2 linked regions of the Arabidopsis thaliana genome follow. The protein of the gene in region 1 interacts with the protein of each later gene in a pairwise test. Each region holds a gene or a part of one and is shown in the gene's direction. Other genes may lie near its edges.

Evidence for each region.
Region 2: the proteins of LYK5 (region 1) and HS1 interact in a protein complementation assay, tested with the Arabidopsis thaliana proteins (one large-scale study listed by BioGRID).

The regions. Positions count from the first base shown.
Region 1 is NC_003071.7:14,218,877-14,224,257, reverse strand, and holds LYK5 (Protein kinase superfamily protein), read left to right. Parts: upstream 1-2,003; 5' UTR 2,004-2,415; coding exon 2,416-4,410; 3' UTR 4,411-4,777; downstream 4,778-5,381. Other genes in the region: AT2G33585 (subtilisin-like protease), read left to right, coding at 91-546, 641-712, 802-855; GALS1 (glycosyltransferase family protein (DUF23)), read right to left, coding at 5,215-5,381. UniProt on the Arabidopsis thaliana protein: May recognize microbe-derived N-acetylglucosamine (NAG)-containing ligands.
Region 2 is NC_003074.8:5,880,071-5,883,874, forward strand, and holds HS1 (heat stable protein 1), read left to right. Parts: upstream 1-1,848; 5' UTR 1,849-1,895; intron 1,896-1,994; exon of another isoform or gene 1,995-2,006; 5' UTR 2,007-2,247; coding exon 2,248-2,387; intron 2,388-2,636; coding exon 2,637-2,826; 3' UTR 2,827-3,130; downstream 3,131-3,804. Other genes in the region: UPL6 (ubiquitin protein ligase 6), read left to right, coding at 60-149, 244-324, 433-506, 613-684, 777-866, 996-1,062; PMEI2 (pectin methylesterase inhibitor 2), read right to left, coding at 3,258-3,779.

The DNA.
Region 1 (5,381 bases):
CAATCCTGCTGACTTCAAATATTTTTGCCATTTTTGTTCCACAGATTGTATTTTATTTACCTACACATATTCAAAGTCTATGGGCCCTATATGGTAAAACAATGTTCTCCGGCCCACAATATATTTGAGCGGGTCTCCAAATGTTACGTGGAGAAACAACAGCCGCATGATGTGTCAATCCCAAACATCAGATTAACCGTCTCGGCGACCGGTTTAGCCTTTGGCAGTGTTCACCAAGCAAATGCGAATCAAAATCAAATCGCCTGCTTTTACTTTTCTTGCAATTTCAGTTCCAAATCGAATCATCATCAAAGTCAAGCAATTGTCAGAGAAGAGATCCAGAAGAACCTTAGACCAGTTCGTATAGTTGGGCATCAATCAATGGCTAGCAGCTGGAGAAGATCAATTGGAAACGTGAGATCTTTCATCGGTAATTCCATGGGAGGTCTTAGAGGTGGTCAGAGTGCCGCTTCTTGGGTCGTCGCCGGAACTATTGCTTACTTTCTCTGGATTAAGCCAGAACAAGATCTTAAAAAGGAACAAGAGGTACCAATTTTGATTTTTTTGCACATCCAAAAAAGTTTGTGTTTTTATTGAATCCTCTAGTCTCATTTCCACAGTTATCTCTGGTTTGATTTAGGCTAGGGCAGCTCTTGCAATGGCTGATACTAATCAATACGTTGAGAAGAGGAAACCAATCGCTGACCCTCAGGTAAATTTCCAACATTTATTAGTAGTTTAGTATTCATTTGTGGATTCTTCGTTTAGAGTATCAATGGTTTTTTCTTATGCTATTTGTAGGTTACTGGTTTGATATATGGAAACAAGAACGGAACTGATAAGTCAGAAGATTGAATTTTCTGTTAAGTTTGAACATTTGGTTGTAAGTTAGCTTCTACAGTTTTGTTCCTTATAGCTAATGATCATGTATAGACACTATAGTTGTAACTTACAACGAATAAAAGATGGAAACTTTTTTTGTTACCAAACCATCTCTGAAGGATTTTATGTGCATTGTGAGATTGAGTATGGATCTGAAACTTCGTTTTGACTCCAAACTTTCTATCATTTCCTTTTACTCTGTTCAATTTGGCACCAATTGGTTTCATGGTTAGTAACTTTTTTTTTGAAGTTTGCCAGTTTGGAACACCGATGCTGTAAACTTATATACGTCGGATTCGAAATTTTTTTACCCTTTAAATTGGTGAGATGCATCGACTTGCATCATTTCAGGTCCTTGCAATTATTCTGTGGTTGGTTTATGTTTGTGCTCTGCCACAAGGATGGGTGATTTTCTCGTGTCATATTAGAAAAGCATGTCTGTCTTGTTCTTTAGTTCGATCGTGAATGGAAAGCTTACTTCCCCGGGATATAACTTAGTTTTATATCATGTGATGGCGATTGACAATGGACCTCTGTTTTTTGTTGTGGATTATAGTATTGAAGTTATTGCCTCGACTCATTATTGGAGCTATATGCTTTAGTGTCCTTATCTTGGATGTTCTATGAGTTGGTCAGATGGATTTGGTTTGTTCTGCTTTGCGTCCTTAGATTCATCAGTTTGGTGTGCTTGTTGATGACTTGATGTAGTCTTCTAACCGAATTTGTATCCGTCGGAACCATATGTAATGCGTTGCAAGTTCTTTGGTAAACCTTTCATGACTTTGCTATCCAAAAGCCATGTTCATGGATCGCTTTAATAGTTGGCCCATTATTTTATCTAACTGTAGTTTGGTTATGATATAGGTTAATCTAGTTATACAGTTTTCATATCGAAACGATGAAACTAAATCTTCCGTATAGTAGGATGATGAGAAAATCGTGGTGCCGGTAAGAGTTTCCAACAGCATCATACCGCAAACCAAATGAATCTCTTTCCTTCTAGGAACAACGCCAACTTAGAAGTTTGAAAATTGTAGAGAAGATTATTTAGATTGACGAGAAATAGTCCATGACCATCTTTAAGTTGTTTATCACGTCGAGAATGGGTATGGGTTGAGTACCCGGAAGGAAAAACGGTAGCAACACGTATTGGCTGAGACAATGTGTCTCTTTCACATGAGATCCAAGAGACCAAGACCATCTTTATGTCCATGAGAGAGCTAACGTAGCTTAAGGGCATTTAGCATGATTAGTATTACTTAGTTCACTTTTGTATTCAGCTTAAGACTATTACTGAACAAATTTACTGACCTGGTCAACTTTCTAGAAGACGTACCAAAATCTCCTCTAATCCCACATATTATCATTTTGACGGTAGGACCAATGAGAAACGTCACAAAAAGTCAACACATACGACGCGTTTCCATTGACTAAATAAGTCTTCGCCGTCTCCTTTGGTTCATCATCGTCCTCTCTGTTTAAATCAGGAGAAAGCTCACGAGAATCCCTCTTCAGATCAGAACACCACAAAACATGGCTGCGTGTACACTCCACGCGCTCTCAGTCACCTTATTCCTCCTTCTCTTCTTTGCCGTGTCACCGGCGAAAGCTCAGCAACCGTACGTCAACAACCACCAGCTCGCCTGCGAGGTCCGTGTCTACGACAACATAACCAACGGATTCACATGTAACGGCCCACCTTCTTGCCGCTCATACCTCACTTTCTGGTCTCAACCACCGTACAACACGGCGGACTCAATCGCCAAACTCCTCAACGTCTCCGCCGCAGAGATCCAATCAATCAACAACCTCCCCACAGCCACCACCAGAATCCCAACCCGTGAATTAGTCGTGATCCCAGCTAACTGCTCCTGCTCCTCCTCCAGCGGAGGATTTTACCAACACAACGCCACTTACAATCTCTCCGGTAACAGAGGAGATGAAACCTATTTCTCAGTGGCTAACGATACTTACCAAGCTTTATCCACGTGTCAAGCCATGATGTCACAAAACCGTTACGGCGAGAGACAACTAACCCCCGGCTTAAACCTCCTTGTTCCTCTCCGATGTGCTTGTCCCACCGCCAAACAAACCACCGCCGGATTTAAATATCTCCTGACTTACTTAGTCGCCATGGGAGATAGTATCTCCGGCATCGCCGAGATGTTCAACAGCACATCCGCCGCCATAACCGAAGGTAACGAGCTTACATCAGACAATATCTTCTTCTTCACACCGGTTCTAGTTCCTCTCACAACTGAACCTACCAAAATCGTTATATCTCCGTCGCCTCCTCCTCCACCCGTTGTTGCTACGCCGCCTCAAACGCCAGTTGATCCTCCGGGATCTTCTTCTTCTCACAAATGGATCTACATCGGAATTGGAATCGGAGCTGGTTTGCTTCTCTTACTCTCAATCTTAGCTCTCTGCTTCTACAAACGAAGGTCTAAGAAGAAGTCATTACCGTCGTCGTTGCCGGAGGAGAACAAGCTCTTTGATTCATCAACCAAACAATCTATTCCCACAACAACAACGACTCAATGGTCAATAGATTTATCCAATTCATCAGAAGCTTTCGGTTTAAAATCCGCCATAGAATCTCTAACACTATACAGATTCAACGATCTTCAATCAGCTACTTCGAATTTCAGCGACGAAAACAGAATCAAAGGCTCTGTTTATCGCGCGACAATCAACGGCGACGATGCCGCTGTGAAAGTGATCAAAGGAGATGTTTCTTCCTCTGAGATCAATCTTTTGAAGAAGCTAAATCATTCTAATATCATCCGTCTCTCAGGTTTCTGTATCCGTGAAGGAACATCGTACCTCGTCTTCGAGTATTCAGAGAATGGATCGATCAGTGATTGGCTTCACTCGTCGGGCAAGAAGAGTTTGACATGGAAACAGAGAGTTGAAATAGCAAGGGATGTGGCAGAGGCGTTAGATTATCTCCATAACTATATAACTCCACCTCATATTCATAAGAACTTGGAATCAACAAACATACTTCTGGATTCTAATTTCAGAGCCAAGATTGCGAATTTCGGTGTTGCGAGGATTCTTGATGAAGGTGATCTTGATCTTCAGTTAACAAGACATGTTGAAGGAACACAAGGCTACTTAGCTCCAGAGTATGTGGAGAATGGAGTCATTACTTCGAAACTAGACGTGTTTGCTTTTGGAGTTGCGGTTCTTGAGCTTCTTTCGGGGAGAGAAGCAGTAACGATACATAAGAAGAAGGAAGGAGAAGAAGAAGTGGAGATGTTGTGTAAAGTGATAAACAGTGTGCTTGGAGGAGAGAATGTGAGAGAGAAGTTAAAAGAGTTTATGGATCCATCTCTAGGGAATGAGTATCCGTTGGAGCTGGCTTACACCATGGCTCAGCTTGCTAAGAGCTGTGTCGCAACTGATCTTAACTCGCGTCCATCTGTCACTCAGGTTCTAACCACGCTCTCAATGATCGTCTCCTCCTCCATCGATTGGGAGCCTTCTGATGACCTTCTTCGTTCCGGCTCTCTTGGCAACTAGTTCAGTTTTTTTTTTCTATTGGTAGTCAATAACAAGTATTTAGACTTTAGATAAGGACCATACGGCTAAAAAGTTGAGATCTAATAAGTACCCCACTGTGAAACATAGTAATAAGAACATATCATAGAGAAACTTTATTTAGATTTTGACATGTTGCTTCAGTAGTCTTTTGTATTTCAGAAAAAAATAATCATTTTCTTCCAATGAGAAGTAGAATCTTGAGGAGAAACAGATCCAAAATGATACAAGTAAACAAACATAACAATACCACTACACATAAAATGCTTATCAGAGAGAATCCTATCTAAGATTGGATAATTTCATCTAAATCAAAACAAGAAATTCTTTGTGTATAATCATAGTCACACCAGAAGGGACAAAGAATCTACTTTGTTCCTTTTCATGACCTTATTTATAGTTAGAAACATCAGAAGCTACCTATGTCTTGCCTAAGAACTGAATCACAATGACTAAGAACTAATTAGCTTTGAATTATTTGCTATTATCGAATGAATCATTGAGTCAATGATTTTAAGAATCTTTAGCTAAATCAATTATTGTCTTACGACAAAATAATAAAAACCAACGATGTTTTGTATGTCCAAGGTCTTGAGTAACTCTAATTTCTATTAAGTTCAATACATAACAAAAGAAAACACAAGTAATTTTCAAAAATATTGATCAAAGTCATTAATGAAATAGTAAAAGAGGACAAAACAGAATGAAAAATGATACATGTAATGTAGAAACAACTATACCTTTATAGACAAAATGCTTATCAGAGAGATTACAGCTATATTATGGTCATGAGAAATTCTTCACATCCGTCCCAAGTTTTTTCTGCTCAAACTCTTTAATCGTCTTCACTAGCTTCTTCATGTTGTCATCATACACATACGGAAGCTTATTGTACAATGTCACCTTCTTCTTGGCTGAATTTGGTAACATCTCTCTACAAAGCTCCTCATGCA
Region 2 (3,804 bases), on another chromosome or scaffold:
CTTGGCATACCTGAGGTCACCCTGTAAATCAACAGCTATTGATATCATCTCATTTGCAGATACGCCAGCAGAGTTCTCATTTCTTGAGGGGGTTTCAGCAACTCATTCCGAAAGAATGGATCGACATGTTCAATGAACATGAGCTTCAGGTGCCAATTAAGTGTATAATTATACTTGCTTTGTTAGTTGTTCCCTCGAGGAGCATGAAGAGAGAAATTTTACCTTTGTGGGCTTTGGTTGCAGGTTCTCATATCTGGTTCAGTTGATAGTTTGGATATAGACGACTTGCGAAACAACACTAATTATGCTGGAGGCTACCACGCGGTGAGTGGTTCTTCACTGTTAGCCGAAATGCCATTGTGAATTAGTGTAGGGACACTTTTGGAGTATTGTTATATATGATTATATCGCTATGTTGTTGACACTTGACAGGGACATTATGTGATCGATATGTTCTGGGAAGTTATGAAAAGCTTCTCAACTGAAAACCAGAAGAAGTTCTTAAAGTAAGCAAACTTTGCAGTTACTACTACAGTCTGTGTACGCAATGATTTACCGGAGTCTATGAATTTTCTAAGGGAACTAAGAGGTACCTCTATTTTTCAATTTCAGGTTTGTGACAGGCTGCTCACGAGGACCACTGCTGGGTTTCAAATACTTGGAACCTGCATTCTGCATACAGAGGTAATATACACAGACTCACAATCGTTTTGACTTTTGATGGGCCCTGGACAATAGAATCATAAAATATCCATCCTCGATGGAATGTGTATCAGGGCTGCCGGTAGTGCGAGTAATGAATCAGTTGATAGACTACCGACATCAGCCACTTGTATGAATCTTCTTAAGCTTCCGCCCTATCAAAGGTTTGTCCTCTCATAACACAAACTCTTTGGTTTTGCTTAGCTAAGAGACTTGTTTTGTTGCCAAATAGCTTCTCTTGGTGTTGTAATTGGAAAAAGCAAATAAAGCATGTCTTGTTGTTAATGATGCAGCAAAGAGCTACTTGAGACCAAATTGATGTACGCCATAAGCGCAGAAGCGGGTTTTGATCTGAGCTGATGGAATAGCTTCCTGCCTTAAACACAGACTTCAATGGCCCCAAATTGACACCCTTTTTTCTAGCATTCCTCGTTATGGTATAAACCGGGTAACCTGTAGACTGAGGCAGGCTTGTTGGCTCTAAGCATCTAAGAGACGGATCTAGAAGGAGAACATGTAGTAGAGATTACTTGACTAATGGGTTTCATTTGCAGCTCTCGGGTATTCGCTTTCAAAAAGTGTGACAAAAAAAAAAAAGTGATTACAGGGAAGTCTTTATTTGGAAGCTCCTGAGAGTTAGTCTTGGGTTAAAAATTCAATAAAAGAAATGGTAAATAAGACTGGTCTCAAGAGGAACTTAAATGCTGTAAATTATTTTGCTTAATTAATGCATGTTACACAGAACATAGATGATTATTTTGATACTTATTTGCATCATACCATATATCTTCTATAAAAAGATGCATTTTAGTGACTTAGTGGTAAGAATATCCTTTTTTTTTTTTTTTTGTCATATGATAATTATTAAAACAGAAACAAAATGACAGAAAAATAACGAGAAATACAAAATGAAATTTAAACTTTACTTTCCTTAGACACTTGATTGTGAAGTCATGAAGGCTCTCCAAGTGCTAAGTAAAACTTAGACTGAAACCTTCTGTCTTGAATCACACTCCCAAGAAATGGAACGCGCGATCAGATTTGCGTTTGTGGCAATATGACGGAATGTACAAGATTCAAATGCACTAACAATCTCATGGATTTGTGTTAACCAATTTCTATAGAAAGGCTATTTGGACGGCTGCAAAACGGCGTTAAGTGCGGCTGGACAGTCCAACTCTATTATCACCGTGGTAAGAATATCTCTATATACATTTTTTGTCGCACTTATCATGATTAATCAAGTAAACATAATTGTTACAAACACTTTATAAATTAAAAAAGCTTCAATTCAATTTGCACAGAAAAGAAAAAAAAAAGAAGAAGATTCAATACAGAGTATACCAGGAGCATCTGGTAATGTTTATATCTGAGGACGTTTTATTTAATTTTTTGGAACGAAAACAATAATCCGACGATCGTATTTGCACGTCGCAAATCCGCTCTTTTAATCAAAGATCTCGACCGTCCATTTTTAGTTAAGACTTTAGAGAGCTGATAAGTGGAATAGTGGAGATTTGCATTCGCAGGGGATAAGGATCAAAAATGGAGGAAGCAAAGGGACCTGTGAAGCACGTATTGCTTGCTAGTTTCAAAGATGGGGTTAGTCCTGAGAAAATCGAAGAGCTCATCAAAGGTTACGCCAATCTCGTCAATCTCATCGAACCTATGAAAGCTTTCCACTGGTTAGTAAATTTGGATTCTGAATTGCTTCCTAGTGTTAGACATATGCTCGAGATCCGAAAAACACTTCCATCAACTCAATATGATTATGTAAAACTAAGCAATTTGGGGAAATTCATGACCTTCCTAGTGTTGATCTAATTTCCCTCAGAGAGAATCCATCTCCATTGATGATCTTTTGAAAAGTTAAATCAACTAAATCGACGAATCTGCTCTTGTCTTATTGAATTATTGGATCTGTATAATTTTAGGGGAAAAGATGTGAGCATTGAGAATCTGCATCAAGGTTACACACACATCTTTGAATCCACATTTGAGAGTAAAGAAGCTGTTGCAGAGTACATTGCTCATCCTGCTCACGTTGAATTCGCCACCATCTTCCTTGGCAGCTTGGATAAAGTTTTGGTTATTGACTACAAGCCTACCTCTGTCTCTCTCTAATTATCTTGTAGCAGCATTTTCATCATTGATCTTTTTCTCGGGTATGCATCTTGTATGTTGAATAAAGTATATTCCTTTTGAGTTTTCCTGCATTGTTCTCATGTTTCTCTGTGAATTTCTCTCTTTTTTGTTTGTTTGTTTGTTTCCTTCTGTTGTATTATACTTGATCTGTAAAAAGATCATGAGTTTATTAAGAGTGTTTGATTTCAGACTCCTCTTTGTTATAAGTCTATTACTAGTTGTTGTCTCTTAGTTTCTTTTATCAATAGAGTTGAGTTATATGGAATAACAAGTTGAAAAGAAACCAGGTTCTTGTTGATGTGTGGGTTGGAGAAAAAAAGTTCTTTGATTATATATGTAACATTTATGCATTACTGTTTAATGTAATCGTCTAATGAGTATGATGAAGGGAGATTGAATCAATCCCACTCTCACATCATGTTTGAGATGACAAGTACAATGCCACAAATATTCTGAAAATCACCACTGTTCTTCACAGCTGAAGGATCAACTTTGAAATCCGCCATGTCTTGTTCACATGTTGAAGGTCCTTCCATAGCTGCTGAAACCTTAATGTTCAACCCTTTGCCATCGCCTGACGCCAGGCTCTGCTTAGCATCATTGAGACTGCTTATTGCACTCTTATAATGTTGTACACATGAGGTGTATGCTTTCTTCATAGTGGGGTTGGTTGCTGTCTTGACTAGAGATTGAATTTTCCTGAAACCTTCTGATGCACTTGTTTGTGCAGAACCAAATGTGATATTTGCAAGCGTTTGAAGATCAGCACCTGAGGTCTTTGGGTTGGATTTCATGTAGCTCGTACAGAAGGATTGGTTTTTCGCTTTTCCACATATCGCTTTTATGTCTGCCACTTGTGCGTTCAAAGAACCAGTCATTACAAAAAACATCAGAGAAGACATTAAAACTCTGTTCGTCAGGTATGCTGCCATCTTTGCTTCTTTCTTTCTTATGTTC